2 linked regions of the Medicago truncatula genome follow. The main gene of each other region encodes a partner of the protein of the gene in region 2 in a complex. Links are inferred from orthologs where the notes say so. Each region holds a gene or a part of one and is shown on either strand. Other genes may lie near its edges.

Region 1 (8,311 bases), on a different chromosome or scaffold from region 2:
GGTTAAGATGTGGAGTAAGTCTTTACACTTACTCCTGGAGTCAACGGATCCCTTCTATATATATATATATATATATATAGGACATATACTGTGAGAATGACTACTTTATATGAGAATGATGAGAATGATTATCAACTATTAGATCAAAAATAAATGGTGATGGCATATATGTGACTTTTTAATCACAACCATTTATTTTTGATCTAATGGTTGATAATCATTCTCATCATTCTCATATAAAGTACTCATTCTCATAGTATATGTCCTATATATATATTCACCTACTCATTCACGAAGACTAATGGATTCTGTGATCAGAACAATCAGTAGCATGTGATGCTTAATAAGTTAAATGTACATTGGGTGAAGGAACAAGAAGACAGGATTCAAGCATGTGATCGCATTTGTACTTTAGCAGCAATACACTGCTTAAAAAAATCCAAAAGAAAAAGTCGTAGAATCACCTTGGCTCTTTTAAACAAATCCCTTATACGTGCAGAACCAACACCAACTAAAAATTCCACAAATTCTGATCCAGCCATTTGGTAAAATGGAACACCAGCTTCACCAGCTATAGCTTTGGCTACCAAGGTCTGCAAAAGCATGACAAAAACATATCACAGATAACACAAATTCTAACATCCAACATAACTGCGGAATAGCAATCTGACCTTGCCACATCCAGGTGGGCCCTCCAGAAGAACACCATGTGGGGGTTTGATCCCCATTTTATCAAATAGCTCGGGATTTTTTAGGTATTTCACCAACTAAAGAGAACAATACATAACCTTCATAAGTTTTCACCCACTACAATAAACAGTAAGCAGAGACTACGAATACGAGGCATAAAACAGAAATAAAATAAAGGTGGAAAATTCCAGGAAATAATAACTATTGAGAGGGATAAAGTTAAATTATCCAACTTGACCAATAAAAAAAGTTAAATTATTCAAAATGATTGTATAAAATCGTTAAAAAGTTAATATAAGTTATGGCTTCTTCAATGTTTTCTTTATGAAGTGTCATGGACTGTTCATAATTGTCTGCAGCCACGCATCAAGTTGAAACTTTCATATTTGTGAGCTGCTGAATCAGCCAGAAAGCAAAAGTAAAATGAGATGTTTTGATGGTCTAGTAGAGTTGCATAAAATAATGGGCTGGGACTATACGAGCAATTGCCTGCAGCCCAAGCCTCTATTATGAATGAACTGGGGAGGGAGGGGGAGTGGACAATGGACCCTAAGCTGTCATTAAATTTACACCGACAATGCATCTCCAATAAACTCGTATATAAATTTATTTAAAAAGGTTTTTAAATGTGGGGAGACCAGCATCTCTCGAATCTCTCTCCACCCATGTATCCATACCTCTTGAAGTTCATCTACAGCATCATCGATTCCAGCCACGTCAGAAAACTTTATTCCAGTTGAACCCTGAAAGAATGTTTTTCCAAATCCAGAAACTAAGAATGACATTAAAAGACTAGAAAAATAAAAAATGAAAAGACTTTAAAAATGGAGAGATTAATGTAAAGATAGGCATTAACAAACATCAACACGAGCTTCAGCTTTTGATAATGAGAAGTTCATTCCCTGCCATAGATCCTGTATATTGAATTAAAATCTCTTAGAGTGTACACCAAATCCATTGAACAAAATTGGCTCAAAAATTCATGCGTAACTTTATGAGTGAATCACTTAGTTAAATCACCTACCCACTTCCTGAAGTTTTTGGGTTTTCTTGAAAGAGTGAAGCGAACAAGAAGGACCATACCCACAACTATAGGCAGGGTCACTTTCAGGACATCGAGGGTGGAAGCTAAACCACCAACAGTCAACAAATTATAAGTCTTAGCCAACAAGCCACCGTCCATGAAAAAGTCAAGAAGTCTATCCCAAAACCTCTCCAGCATTGAAACAGCAACTCCAAGGGAAAACTTAAGAATTGGTTTGGCTATAGGCCATCCAACATAGACGGTTGTCACAAATATAAAACTGGTGACAACAAATACTGCTGCTGAAAGGAAGCCACCAACTAGAAGTGCTGCTAAACCCACTACGACTGTCACCGCTCCAAGCTCGGCCACCACTCTGCTAGATATGGAAGCTGCAGCTGGATGAGGGGACACTGACATTTTCCCCACCCAAGACTGCAACAATATAATTTCAGAGTTAAAAGAGCAATTGCAATACGTTCACCTACAAAAGGATTTTATCCATTTATTCAGTACGCTGAATGACTTAAGCTATGAGTCTCTAACTACAAACTATGCAAGAAAATGTATAGTAACTTAAATTTATTTGGCTTGAGAAAATGCTTTCTATTTTTATTTTTTATTTCAACAATACAACTCCTTTTTAAGTCTATTTCCAATTTTCAACTATATGTATGGGGAAGCTTATTTTGAGCTTATGAAAAATAGCTTATGTAAATAAATAAGCTTTTATTTTAATTTATAACCTCTCATTAACGAAAATTGTATCTTCATTAACGGTTTTTTCATAAACTACCTTAAAAACTTATAAATAATACATAAAAACTTATTTATTTGCATAAGCTGTTTTATATAAGCTCTAAAATAAGTTAATCCAAACGGGCCCTAAGTCTGTTTTGTAATTAAAACTGAAAATATGAAATTAAAACAGAACATTTTCCTAAGCCGCATACCCTTGGAAAAATTAAATGAAACTTAAAAACAGCAAAAATAATTGATTTTCCCCTGTTAGCACCAACAATGTCAATGCCTCGTAAATTAATTTTTAAGTATTACAAATAAATAGATCAACAACCGTGATTCGACGACTCTCTATCTCATATCGTGGTCCAGAATATTCCTCCAAAATTGCTCGAGCTTCACTGCTATCCACCCTTAGAACCCTACAGAATTCCACACACACACACAATCTATCACAACACCACAATGCACACAGAACAAAGTCTATAAAAACCACATAGGATATAATCAAACAAAAACATCAACTTTCATTTTTCTTTTACCATTTCGTCGCCTGCAATCTTTTATCACCTGGAATTTCCTTCAAATCCACAATATAATCCCTATAACCATATCCATAATCTTCCTTAGAAGTTACCAACTTAATCTTATCTTTACTCAAAGCTTTAGTAAAATCCTCAACGCTCATTTTGGGTAAAGTTTTCAAATTCTCATTAAACTCTTCCTCCTCGGACAACGGTGTACCGAAAATCTGTTCAGGAACATAGAGTTTCCCTTTATACTCTTTAAGCAAATCATTCAAATACACAGAATCATCTCTCTCTTCATAAAGCTCACCACTTTTCCTCTGAGAATTATTCTTCAATCTCTTCAACAACAAATCAAAAAGACCCTCATTTGATTTTTGACCTAAATTGTCTTTTTGTTGTGAAGTATATAACTTGTTACCGATTAGATATTTAGGTGGGACTTGGCTTGGATTTTCTTCTAAAACTCGTTTGACGAAATCATCGGCATCGGAATTGGAAGAGGATTTGCAGAAAACTGTGAATGGTTTACGAATAAGAAATTGCGTTTTTCTGTTGTGATTGGAATGAAGAGTTTTATGGTGGTGAGTGTGAATGTGATAGGAATTGTTGCTGGGGTAGCAGAAAATGTTCATAGCGTTATGGTGAATTCATATATGAATGTGACACTGAAAGAGTTTATCGAATTAGGGTTTTGAGAATGATGAACAATGCAAATGCGCGAAGAAGAAGAAGAAGAAGAAGATGAAGAAATTGCAAAATGGTTTCATTTCCCACCCAATCCGATAAACCTCATCTCAGATGGTTTTTCTAACCGGGTCGGGTAAGATGATTGTATGCCCCATTTTGTGTGTGAAGAGAGAATGAAACATTAAATAAAGAAATTGTTTTTTTGGACATCGAATACTTCTTATTGACACAAATAATTTATTAAAAAACCCCAGCGGTAGTAATTATCGTTGGAAAAACTGTCGGTTATTAACTGTCGTTGCATTCTGTAAGTTAAGAATGCAGAAACTGTCGTTTCTGGTTTACAAAAACGAATGCAAACATTTCCAAATTTAATCAAAATTCACCCAATCCTTCATTTGGAGGAAAATCATCCAATTTGCCTCAAATAAATCACCCAAACCTTTCTTCCTATTTACATGCAATGTAGGTTATTTAGGGTGTTATTTTCATAATTTTAGCAAAATGTTTAGGGTTAGGTTATGTTTAAAAATTGCAAATTATGATAGAATTAGATGTTGTAAGTGATTGTTTATGTTTGCATTGTTGTTTATAGTAGGTTTAGGTACAACGTAGTTGAATTTTTGATGTTGAATTAACACTAATTGTGCTAGTATTTTGAAATGCACATAAGGTGTTTGATGAAATGCCTAAGTAAAATAATCTTGCTTTTTTTGTGATTTTTTTTCCAAATATGTTAAATCTTATAATGTATATATGTTATAATTATTAGGCTTATTAGATCGTTTGATCCCTTATTTAATTTCATGTTTTCATTTTGGTCTCACAATTAATAAAAATGGCGTTTTGATCCCTCATATTTTCCTCCGTTTGCCAAATAATTCCCGACTGTTAACTTTAACTTCAAATGTCTTTGGTGGACCAACCTTAAAAGTGGTCCATCGTAGACCTTATTAATTTTGTTAATTTTAACCATTCGATCTATTTATCATAAAAGGAACCGTTAGATTTTCACATGTGAATGGACTGTTTTGTCCTCAATGAGACCAAACACATGTGTAACTACCAATTTACCCCTTTCTTCTTCATGTCCAAAACTGAACTTCCATCTTTCTCTTCTTCTTCTTCGCAAAACAGAAATTAGAACAACAAATAACAACAACATTCAACAGTAACATAACAACAACATTCAACATAAAAATAAAAAAAATAAAACTAATTTCCCAAACTCCTCCACATTCCAGACTCAAATTCGTCATCACCTCCGTTCACATATCATCAAGAACCTTCTCAGAAGCAATTTCAGAAAACACTTTATCACAATTCATAGCAACAGTTTCCAACAAATCAAGACTATGTTTCTGAACAACAGGACTCTTATGATTAATCTTTCTCTTAATAACTTTCACAATTTCTGAACCGTTAAACTCTTTCGCGTTAATAAGACCACAAATTCTGAGATTCATGCCCCAATTTGTTCCGATAAAGTTTCCGATGTTGCTTCGTCGACCATTTTGGATTCAGGTGTTGGTGTTTGGAGAATTTCTTTCAATTTGCATGTCTATATTGGGCTGTTTAACAACTTTGTTTATGTGGTTGGTAGTGGAAAGATTAAAAACGATGAAGATTAACAACTTTGTTGATTTTTTTCAATCTTCACTCACCATTCAACTTACTTCACTCAAAACTTCTTCGATGTTAAATTCTTTTGTAGATCTGGTTTTTTTAGGGGGAGAGAGAGCGGTGCAGATGGTGTTGCCGGAGCGACGCGGAGGAGGGTGGTGTTACTATTGTTGGATTTGGATTTCAATTCGAATTTTGTTGTTGTTGTTGTTATTGTTGCCTTTGGGTTTTGATGAAGATTTCCAGATTTGATTTGAATTTATGGGTTTGGAAAAAAAAACATTTAGTGTTGAATGGGTTGTTATGTTTATAGGAAAAGAGAAGAGAAAGAATACAAAGAAGGGATCAAAGAGAGAAGAGAAGGATGCAGAATTTTTTTAAAGAAATTCTATCGATTTTTTTTTAAAAGAAATTGAGATTTTTGGGATTTCTGTTTTTTTTCCCCCCGGGAATGTTGATGAAGATGATGATGGTATTGATGAATGTGATGATGAAGAAGTGTGGGGAAGAAGAAGAAAGAGAAAATTAATTAGATGTTATTGACTCACCGTAAAATCACATAGACCTGCCTAATTCAATGGTTCTCTTTTTTTTGAAAAAATCAAACGGTTGAAATTAAAGTAATTAATAGGATCTATGGTGGACCACTTTTAAGGTTGGTCCACCAAAGACATCATTTGGGGTTAAAATTAACAGTCGGATTTATTTGGCAAACGGAGACAAACGTGGGGGATCAAAACGCCACTTTTATTAATTGTGGGACCAAAATGAAAACATGAAATTAAATAAGGGACCAAACGATCTAATAAGCCTAATTATTATAAGGTCGGATTTTGACATTTTTTTGCAAGTTTAAGAATGACATAATTTTATACGATACGTAATTTTTTTTTATGAAATGCCCAAGTTGAATGATTCTAAGTTTGAATTTTTATGAATGTCTAAGTAAAATTTGTGACATGTTACATGTTACTTGTCTTAGGTTCAATAGCTTGGATTTTTATGATATAATGTTTGGATAATTTTTATGATATAATGTTACATGTTACATAATATTTGAATTTTTATGTCTTCTTTTAATTTGTTTTTGTACAGATATGGCTAATAAGGAGGATGCGCGGGAGCGGCGTATTAGAGAGGGTAGGGTGCGCAAAGGTAAACCTGCTATGACAAATAGCGTTCGAAAGGAGATGGAGGTTGAACACCCGTGTGTTCCAAAGACCCGGAGACGTAGGGACTTGAGGATAGGTGGAGGAGATGGGTCGGGTTCACATTCACAGATGGATTACTCCTCCCAGGTGGTTGATCCGACATCGGCACATGATAAGGCTGTGTATGAGGAGGGTTTTGTTGGATATGATCGGATGGAGGAGGATATAATGTTTTACCCGCCGCAGGACGAGGCAGAGGATGAGGAGGTGCCAGATGATGTTGTGGCGGATTATCTTGAGGCAGAGAATATTATTCTTGAGGGTGAGCCTGAGCCTCAGACTCAGCGACGACGTCGTCGTATTCCGCCCATACCGCCATATCTTGTTGGAGGGCCTCCCTTTCCTTGAGGACCTGAGACCACATCACTATTGTCCAACTACGCGAGGCACATGGCGAACCCTCTTTGGGTGAACCATCATAATGTAAGTGTTTAAATTGTTTAAAATTCTTTAAATGCTTTAAAGTGATTATTTAAAAGAATGTAGCGTACATGTTTTAATTATTTATTATTATGTAGCGTAAGTGTTTTAATTATTTAAAAGAATGTAGCGTTAGTGTTTATATAATATTATGTAGCGTAAGTGTTTTAATTATTTAAAAGAATGCAGCGTTGGTGTATTAATTATATAATATTATGTAGCATTAGTGTTTTAATTATATAATATTATGTAGCGTAAGTGTTTTAATTATTTAAAAGAATGTAGCGTTAGTGTTTTAATTATATAATATTATGTAGCGTAAGTGTTTTAATTATATAAAATAGTGACAATGTCTTAATTAATTTGAATTTCAGATGTGGCATGATTAGACGGGTTACAAGTGTATAAATGCAAGGAAAAAGATGAAAGAGCTTGGTAAGCCGGAGGCGGGTTTGAGGTGGTTTTGGGAGCCTGTGGAGGGGTCTGGCTTACATGATTTGATATACACGGGATATTCTAGTGTCACCCATGCCATGATACGTGCTATGTGCGAGAGGTGGCACATGGAGACCAGTAGTTTTCATCTACCTGTGGGGGAGATGACGATCACTTTGGATGATGTGCATAATCTCCTACACATTCATATTCACGGCCGCATGTTGGACCACGACGAGGCAATGGATCGGGACCGTGCGATTGATTTGATGATCAGGTTGTTGGGCATGTCAGATGCTGATGCTAGGGCTGAGGTTAGGACTGAGTCTGCTGGTCATATTAGTTATCCCACGGCTGGAGGAGCCACAGACGAGGGAGGAGCATCATGAGAGAGGCAGGAGGAGGGTGTGGTGTGTGAGGGGTTTCCTTCTATATCTCGTCGGTTGCGCGTTGTTCACTAACAAAACGAACAGACACATCGACTTGATATATCTTGATTGTATGGCGAACTTGCAGGCGATTGGGAAGTGATCATGGAGAGGGATGACCTTAGCTTACCTGTACGACTATCTGGATGATTCTGTTATTCTGAATAACAGAACGATGGTTGTGAGTACCACTCTTTTTATGATAATAATTTGATATTTATCTATATTTCTTTATGAATTTATTTTATAATTTTTATTATCATGTTAGATTATTTTTTCCTAAGTTAGACTACATTTATTTAGGATTTAATTTAAATATTTATGTGAAGCTTTTATAATGTATTTTATTTATTTGTTACATGGATGGATTTTGAAGCATTTGCCAGGTCCGTACCCAAGGAAGAAAAACAAGAGCTGGAAGCCAGAGAGACCATGTGTTGGGAAATGACTTACTAGCAGAGGGCATACAGATATGCACCATTATCGCTTACTGCTTGATCGCTTAGAGGTGGATGATGTCAG
Region 2 (8,973 bases):
ATTATAATGCCTAACTATAAGTTGCACCATGGTCTCTGTCGTAAGATCTATGTATTTATTTATCTATCTGTCCATCTGTCTACCTATCTATCTATGTAGAGAGAGAGAACTAACAAACTATATACATCATTCAACCTAAAACAACAAAGAGATGCAGATATATAAAAGCAGAAGTTACAAACTACACTTTTAGCTCCACCCTTCAAAAAAAAAGGAAATTTGATATCATGAGGTTGAGCGTATGCTAACTGCAAGAGCAAACTTATACCATTTGCTCAAGTTTCCTCCTATTCGGATTTTTTTGGATAGGACCATAACCAAGAAGTCTTGGAATTTTTCTCCTCATAAATTGGAACACGTTAATCAAAACAAATCCTGAAATAGCAGCTCTTGCGATAAACAACATGATCCATCGAAAATCACCATCTGCTCGTCTGGATTGAACTCTTGCTTCTGCATTTAATTGCCAGTTCAAGTACCATGGAGTGTTCATTGTCTCTTCCTCTGGCCAAGCCATTCCCAATTTTACCCTCACCTGTATCATAAATAATACAACAAATGTTTCAAAAACTTATTATTCCAAACCAATAACCTGAATTAGCACATGGCGAGTTTTGGGCTCAAGGATACCGGGTTAGGGAGTATATATTCCACAATAGGAAACCCTATCACTGTCATTATGTCATCAGTCATTTCCTTAATATTGTCAAAGATCAAATTTGTTGTAGTCAAGACAGTTTCGGAATTCCACCGGCCACTCAAAAATCGAAGAGGGAACCTTAATATCACAGAAATCCGTTGGTGCACACTTAACTCTGACAACGGAATCCACATTAGATGAACAGCTGTTGGAATACCACAGGCTAGCATTTTCCTATATAGCACATCAAAACCCCCAATATATTCAAAAAGCCTTTCGAATTCCTGAAATATGAAAGCAAACAAATAATCACCATACAAGAAATTTAAAATAAATAAGAAATAGAAGAATATACACAGATGCATACACAGTTATACCTTTATGTCTACATAAAACTCTTTGTCCTCCCCCTTCAATGCAATATACATTGCACGCCCATCATACCTAATCCGAACATGCTCTATTAGCTTTTTTGAGACAGCATGAGGAACAGCCACTGGATCCATCTCCCATCTATTTTTCTCTTCATTGTACCAAGTCTTTGACACTACCCTATCTCGGTCCAAAAGAATCCTTTCCTGCAATGGATAAGTAGTGAGTAGTGAAAGGAACGCACTAATGCCTTCCGATGTGCAGAAAAACATATGTTAAAAATAATATATCCACCATCAACACCTCAACATTGATGGGCAGAAAAAAAAACATGAGAATCAAATATAATATATATGATATTTAACTAACAAGACAAAGATTATTATGCCTTCAAAAAAAGACAGATTATTATTAATGAATATCAAAGGGAACGAATTGCAATTTGCATCACAACTTGACCTGTCTAATCACCATTCTACTTAGTAAGCAGCATATAAGACATTTTTGTTTCTCGAATTCCAAAGAATTGTTCATAGAAAATACAAATAAGTAAACCCTTAATCACCTCTTCTTCAGGTGAGTACACAACACTACGCTTTTCCTTGTCATACTGCATATCTTTCCTTATCTGGGCCTCTAAATTCTTCTGCTGCTCCCTTGAGTCTTTGAGACTTCTTTCTAAATGTTGGGCAAAATCAACAGAGTCTTGATGAAAGAATGGCCCGAGATCATCAACATCCACAATGCTAGGAAGAATAGTTTGCTCTATTTGCTTTCTTTGCACAGTTTCCAAGTCTTCTTGAATGACGGATTTTGATAGCTTGTTAACTGAGCTTGCGAATGAACTGCAACCACATGAAAAACGTTTGCATAATCACATACAGTTTCAACAGAGTTGTAGGAAAAACTAACTAGCATGACAAGACATTATGCAACGAACCAAGCTATTGCATCCAACATTGAAAACAAATTGTGTCGCTGTCAATCAAATCGATTAAGATAACAACAGTTTTATACGATCTTAATTCTAAGATATTCCAATTCAAACACAATTTCAAGATATAAGATTCAGTCCCAGTCAAGATGTAAAGTCAACTTCTCTCTACAAGACTTCAACTAAGCACTTCGGCCAAGTAAATAAACAACGGTAACAAGATACTACAAATATTCCAAAATTATTAAATAGTAGAGAAGTCACTGCCTAAAAAACCTAAAATCCATTCTTAATTTAACTTTTTTTTCCTTCTGAAAACTCGGTATCTGGTCCAAGGACCGAGTAATCCAGGAGACCCATTTCACCATCCACTGGCTCGGGCCAAATTGAAGCCAGAGCAAAACCTATATGGACTGGCCCAACTCAATAAATGTTAGCACCTAGAGAAGAGCACACTCTTTATGTCCCAAGTCATATACCACCAGGCCACTCCCTTAACTTAACTATTTATCAAATAAAACCTCCATATCCATATAATTACACATAGAAAACTACAAGTAATAATGAATACAAACACACATGACATGTGATTAGTGTTAAAAATGAATGCATTATCAAGCTATCGAATCATAGAATTCAACCTTCCGATTTTCTTCTGTTTGATTTCTTGTTTAAATCTCTCCACCAAGTTCTCACATTCCCTCTGGATAAAACAAATCTCCAACACCCCATAACTCAACGCCACCGTCTCTTTCCTCGAAATGACATCCTCCATTTCATCAATTTTCACTAAAATCTCATTCCATTTCTTCTCCAACTCCACCATTCTCTTGTCCAACACCTTCTTCTCCACCTCATTCACTACATTATCCTTCATATCCATCTCCCAGCCCATCAATTTTCTATGCTCCCTGTTCACTTCCGCCATCTGCCAACTAATCTCACCTTCCTTTATCTGCAACAACCTCAACTCCTCCTTCAAATCCATCAAAACCGGATGCATCCTCTCGAGAATCTCTTTCTCCATTTCATATTTCTTCAATTTCACAAACTCCAAAGCTCGTTTCACATCTTCAAAATCACCGTTCCCTTTCCTAACCTCTTCAATAGTCCTCAACAAACTCGGCACAGTATCCAACACTTTTTGCGTGCAATCAGAATACTCGTGTTGATTCTTGTTCTCTTTGTTCTTACTCAAAAATTGAACCCAAGGTATCGTCGGAAGTGCAAACGCGGGCGCAATTTGGAATGTTCCGAAGGTGGAAACACCGACGGCGAAACAGAATAAAGCGCGAAGAATGAGTTGTTTTGTTAAGCAGCATTGGGATAAAACAAGAGTTGAGTTTGTTGGTTGGGATAAAACGGTGTGGTTGTTTTGTTGATTTGCGGAGAGAGTGATGGAAGCGCGTGGTGGTTTGAAGAGGAGTGTATGATTTGGAAGGGGGCGGAAAGAGGTGAAAGGAAGGTGTGATGGAAATCGAAGAGGTGGTGAAGAAGAAGAATAGAGAATGGAATCCATGAATCAGTTTAGATATACATTGAATTTGAGTTTGAGTAGCAGCGTTATCCTGAGATTTTTGAACGAAAGGGGTTTTAGGGAAGAACACCAGAGAAGAGAGACTGACTATTATCATCTAACATCATTTAAATTAGATTTTTATAACCGATTAATTTTAAGTTTTTTTTAGATATTAGTCTAAATTTTTTTAAGGGTTAATTAAATTTTTGGTCCCTATAAATATCTGCAGTTTTGTTTTTAATCCTTATAAAAATAAATCACACTTTTTAGTCCCTACAAAATTTTCCGTTAATGTTTTTAGTCCATGTTAAATTAAAATTTGTTTAATTATGCTTAAAATTTTAAATTTTTTAATGATTTTTTACATACTTGTTTAAAACATTATAAAAGGTTCCGCCAAAATAAATTAACTCAAAATTTTATTTTTAGGTCCAAATTTTCGTTAGTTTTATCTTGAATTTTTGGCGTTTTAAAAAAATTATATGTAATTCATTACATGTTAAAAAATTCTAATTTTTTATAAAAGAGATTATTATAATGTTCTTAACATGTATGTTAAAAATCATTTAAAAATATAAAATTTTAAGCATAATTAAACAAATTTTAATTTAACAGGGACTAAAAACACTAATGGAAAATTTTATAGGTACTAAAAAGTGTGATTTATTTTTATAAGGACTAAAAACAAAACTGCAGATATTTATAGGGACCAAAAACTTAATTAACCCTAGAATATTTACACCATTATTAATTTTTTCAATTCACTTCGTTATAAAGTACTTATAAATTGTTTTACATTAAATTGATAAGTCTAAAAGTATTTATGATATCAAACATGATTACTTAGCCACGTATTATTCTTCTTTTTTATTTTGTTTTTTGACAAATTCTTCTTCTTGTTTTTTAATTGGGTTAAATAAGTTTTTTATCCCTATAAATATAGTAAAATTTATTTTTGCTCCTCGTAAAAAAAGGGCATGTTTTGATCCATATAAAAAAATTCAACGCATACTTTTAGTCCTTGTAAAATTAAAATTTATTTGATTGTGTTTGAATTTTTAAATTTTTGAATGATTTTTAACATGCTTATTTATAACATTATATAGAGTTCTCTGCAAAAAAAATATTAGCTCAAAATTTGATTTTAGGTCCAAATTTTCATTACTTTCATTTTAAATTTTTTACATTTGAAAAAACTCATGTTTAATTTATTACATGTTAAAAAAATATGATTTTTTCATAAACAAAGTATCTTATAATGATTTCAACGTGTCTATACAAAATTATTCAAAAAATTATAAGTTTAATCAATAAATTTTTATTTAACAGAACAAAAATTTTGTGCTGGAAATTTTCATAGGGATCAAAATATGTTATTTTTTTATAAGGACTAAACACAAAATTTGCTATAAAATTTAATCCTTTTGAATTCAAGTTTAATTCTATGGATAAATATTTCATCAACGGTATTATAAATCAAGTGACCGATCAAATATTATTTCAAATCAAAACTAAATAATGCATGTACGAACCTTGTTATTGTGAGCGGTGAATTTGAAAATATAAACTTAACATTAAACATTTACATAAAAACTTTTTAACCGAGTTTGATAAAAATAGATTAATGATGTGAATATTTTATGATTTAAGCGATCAATCTGTAACAAAAAAAAACCTAGTCTTAAACGAGCGCAGACGTATTTGGCCAAAATTATTTCAGGTTGTGACTAAGAATTCACATTTTTAAGATTAATAATTGAGGTGTCTGGGATTTGAACTTCACACTTGCATGTATTATACAATATCCCTATTAATTGAGTTAAAACTTTTTCTTCTACTTGGTAAAATTAAAACATTGTTCCTTTTAGACTATAATTTTTTCTTCTTCTTTAATTTAATTGAGGTGTCTGATGTGTGATTTACGGTTTGAATTGAGAGTGGAATTTATGAATGTTTGAGATTAAATATTTTTGCCTTCGTAGTTTTGAGATAGATGCGAACCCTTCACATCATTATAATTTCAAATATTTATATGTTTAATCTTGATTTTAAATTCACTAAAAGATTAGGGGTTATCTCAAGGTTAAAGGTTTAGTCGCTGAGAGACTAGAATTACACAATCTAGAAAACTAATAGCAACATGAAGAATGAATTCAGCTTATAGAATCAGATTAATAGTGCAAAGTTAGTAACCAAGTCATACTCATCCCTGAAACATTTTTATTATAGTTGACTTTTATTCAAGTTTCGTTGTTGAAAAAAATTACAAACAACATACTCGTACCTTTTTCTTCAACTAAGTTCTAAAACTACAGTTCGACAGTACATCGCAATCCTTGAATTCGACACTCGGTCTTACCGTTTTAAGTTTACCACTTGCCCGATTTCGTACACTTGCGAAAATCGCTATCAATCACCATCATCAAATATTAAGGACATCAGATGTATGTTACTGATTTTATCCACACCATCGTAAAATACAACATCGTTAGATAGACTGGGCCATGAATGCATGAATACTAAAAGACCACATCAACATATATCATCAAATATTCATCATTGATTCGTCTTTATATCAACACATCTATAACACATTTTTATATCAACACATCCATAACACATCTTCGTATATCACAACTCTACATACACATTTCCAATTTCCACTTCTTACAATTATACATTATATTCACATCATTAAATAACCATCACAACCTGTCATTTACTAATTTACCAATTCAATTCATCATCTAATTTCTATTATCGAAATTGCTAAGTTTCTCTACTCATACTCACTCATTACCAATGAAAATTATTTCATTAAGTCCATCTTCCTATCATTTGAATACGTTACTGCATACTAAGGTTATTTCATCGACTATACTGAAACATGTTCTAAGTTTCATCCTCAAAACCTTTCTGACCATCATAATCCTTATTCCAATCTAACTTATTATCATTAATTCATCTTAAACAATTTCACCAGTTTAATTGTTCATTATGGTCGTACACACTTCTATCTATCTCTATCTTAGCCTTATTATTGTTTTAATAATGTTTTAGAGTCCATTGAAGGATTTATGTTGAAATTCCACAAAAACGCAATATGCCTCATTTGTAGTATTTTAATCACATCTCAAGTTGTAGATGTCTAAATGGAGTCAAACCAAAAACAAATAAAAGTTAACATTCATACCTACAATTTTCATGAAGACACCTAAACTAAATTAAGATCAGAAAAGGGTGGAAATAACCCATTAGTGGTTCATATATGAATAAACACCAATGATAATTCTATGTCAATAGAGATAGTTACATTAACAAATTGTTGGCACATGAAAGTGATTTGATAAAACTAACAAACCTTTAGGAATTATAGAGTCTAGTCTCTCCCAAACCAACTCGTATACATAATATATGATATCCTCCTTTTTCACTTTCAACCTATATTTATAATTCTGATTACCAACAACAGTTACAAGCGGTTACTACACAAAGAATATTTAATACTACTACTACTAATAATAATAATAATAATAACAATAATAAAATAAACTGTCAGTTCTAACTATAGTCCTCCAAAAAAATATTCACTTTGTCCTCAAGGTAAATGATTATAGAAGTCTCCACCATGGTCATATAATTCACAAATTTGGTTTAGGGGCAATTTGTGAGATCTAATCAATCAACCACTGGTTCAAAAAGGAGTTTCTTTGTCGTGTTTATGTTAACTTCTTTATTGGCTGAAACGTTTGCGAAGACGCTAATTTGATGGTCCCGATCTAATACGCAGGTTCATGAAGGCAATGCAATGGTGTTGTTGAATGCGACGCATTGGATTCAGAAGATAGGAATACAAAGTGTGACATTACTTATTGATTCAAAAATATCCATGTTAGAACTGGAAAAAATAATTTGAATATTAGATTTCTATCAATATCAAGTTGCAAGGAGACAAACAAATACGAAAACTCATTATTTAGCTAAAACGACAATTTCTTTTGCCAATCACCAAGTTTTTGACTATGTCTCTTCTTGTATTAACCATTGACTGAATAATGAAATGAGTTGATTTTGTCTGATTTGAAAAAACTTTAATATCAACTAGATTTTTTTTCTCGACAAATATATAAAATATATCTTTAATTAGACTAGTAGACCACACAACACTTTCTAAAAGTCAAGACACACGTACAAAAATAAATGACTTAAAAAACCGCGATCGTATCACAATTTGTTTTAAATCGTTAGATCTTACGTTATCGAACACACATGTTGTAACATCCCGATATTTTTAGATATTATTTATGGCCTTCAAAATATTTTTTTTATAGATTTATAATTTACTAATGATGCGTTAGGAGTGTAAGGAAACTCTTATAACTTTGGAGCCTATTTATTTTATTGGTGGAATATAATATTTTTACTCAATTTATACTACTAATAATTTGACCATGAGCTTCTCTATTATTTGCTCGGTCAGAGGACATGTTTCCCTCATTATTCACTCTTGTTAATTAGCTTAAGAGCATGTCTTGCTAAATATTAGGAATTCACACTTCACGTATCAAATACTTTCCATAATTATGCTATGAATAGTTCATAACTTGACTAATTAGTAATTAGGGTAGTTAGTGGCATTTACGGTTCCTCCATAACCATAACCCACATTTAGGATTGATTGAGTGGAGTATTATTCTCTTAAGTAGTTATTTTAGTCCATCTCAATTCATATTGCAAAATCCCTTATATGTTTCTCTAACTCTCGTAACCGTGCTACTTGTCAGTCTCACATCATCAAAATATTATAACTCATTTTCATGCCTCTTCATCCTAATTATTCATTATGTTGGTATGTGATGTACCTCACGTTTTCTTCTCTGGCCATGTAATTCAATCTCTCTCACTTTTCTCTTTAATTTCATGACCCTCTTTTGATATATCCCACACCATCCTCTTGATTTACCTTACGGCTCCAAACAAGATCCATGGCCATTAATTTTGTTCATGCTTATTCCTGTAACTATCATTCATCAAATAGTTTTTTCAAGTATAGTTGCTTCCGTTCCATGTTTCGTGTGACACAAAGGTAACCCCTTTCCAACCATTCCTATATATTCTTCCTATTTCTATTTTGTCTCTAATTTTAGGATTTATGTTTTTGAAGCTTTGAACTATTTCTCTTGCAAATTGTCTGTGAGGTTGTTGAGTTTCCACGTTTGAAAAACAAGTCTTAGAGGTAAGGGCTTTTTCCCCATACGTCCATACTAAGTACTAGGATTATGTTATGAATTAGAGGTAGAGATTCTTGTATGTTGAAAAGAACAAAACAACTAAAATATGAATTTATATGGTAAAATTTAACCTTTTATAAAAAAGTTATTAGTTTAACTATATTTTATATGATGTGTGTATGATAATGTTATGTGGAATGACATTTATTTTATTTTTCTATGCATATATGTTTTTGTGGTATTGTTAATGAAGTGTTAGACTTTGTAGATAAACTAA

Evidence for each region.
Region 1: the proteins of probable inactive ATP-dependent zinc metalloprotease FTSHI 5, chloroplastic (region 2) and probable inactive ATP-dependent zinc metalloprotease FTSHI 1, chloroplastic are in contact, whole or in part, in a cryo-EM structure (PDB 8XKV), measured with the Arabidopsis thaliana proteins. The link is inferred for Medicago truncatula from reciprocal best matches to the Arabidopsis thaliana genes emb2458 and FtsHi1. Residues at the interface, in NP_187084.6 of Arabidopsis thaliana: Arg815, Gln902, Lys934, Glu938, Arg942, Pro943, Asp947, Arg948, Thr1148, Glu1149, Ser1150, Arg1151, Ser1152, Leu1154, Gln1198, Tyr1199, Trp1201, Asp1205, Pro1207, Ala1208, Val1209, Tyr1210, Tyr1211, Ala1212, Asn1214, Ala1215, Val1216, Ser1217, Ala1218, Leu1219; in NP_567691.1 of Arabidopsis thaliana: Ser497, Val500, Glu653, Leu656, Arg660, Leu678, Arg684, Gln692, Gly693, Arg696, Arg697, Gly731, Gln732, Leu763, Arg766, Val771, Ile772, Tyr773, Gly774, Ser775, Asp776, Thr777, Ser778, Lys779, Ala780, Val782, Leu785, Ser786, Ser789, Arg793.

Annotation. Positions count from the first base shown.
Region 1 is NC_053049.1:46,229,762-46,238,072, reverse strand, and holds the start of probable inactive ATP-dependent zinc metalloprotease FTSHI 1, chloroplastic, read right to left. Parts: upstream 3,831-8,311; 5' UTR 3,618-3,830; coding exon 2,998-3,617; intron 2,878-2,997; coding exon 2,790-2,877; intron 2,150-2,789; coding exon 1,715-2,149; intron 1,605-1,714; coding exon 1,551-1,604; intron 1,434-1,550; coding exon 1,368-1,433; intron 768-1,367; coding exon 672-767; intron 594-671; coding exon 465-593; intron 1-464. Other genes in the region: protein MAIN-LIKE 1-like, read left to right, coding at 7,349-7,750. UniProt on the Arabidopsis thaliana protein: Functions in chloroplast biogenesis and chloroplast division. Required for plastid development during embryogenesis. Might be involved in chaperone functions or play a structural role in the thylakoid FtsH complex.
Region 2 is NC_053042.1:39,649,538-39,658,510, reverse strand, and holds the start of probable inactive ATP-dependent zinc metalloprotease FTSHI 5, chloroplastic, read right to left. Parts: upstream 3,569-8,973; 5' UTR 3,466-3,568; coding exon 2,588-3,465; intron 1,858-2,587; coding exon 1,578-1,857; intron 1,219-1,577; coding exon 1,018-1,218; intron 925-1,017; coding exon 631-924; intron 536-630; coding exon 269-535; intron 1-268. UniProt on the Arabidopsis thaliana protein: Required for plastid development during embryogenesis. Might be involved in chaperone functions or play a structural role in the thylakoid FtsH complex.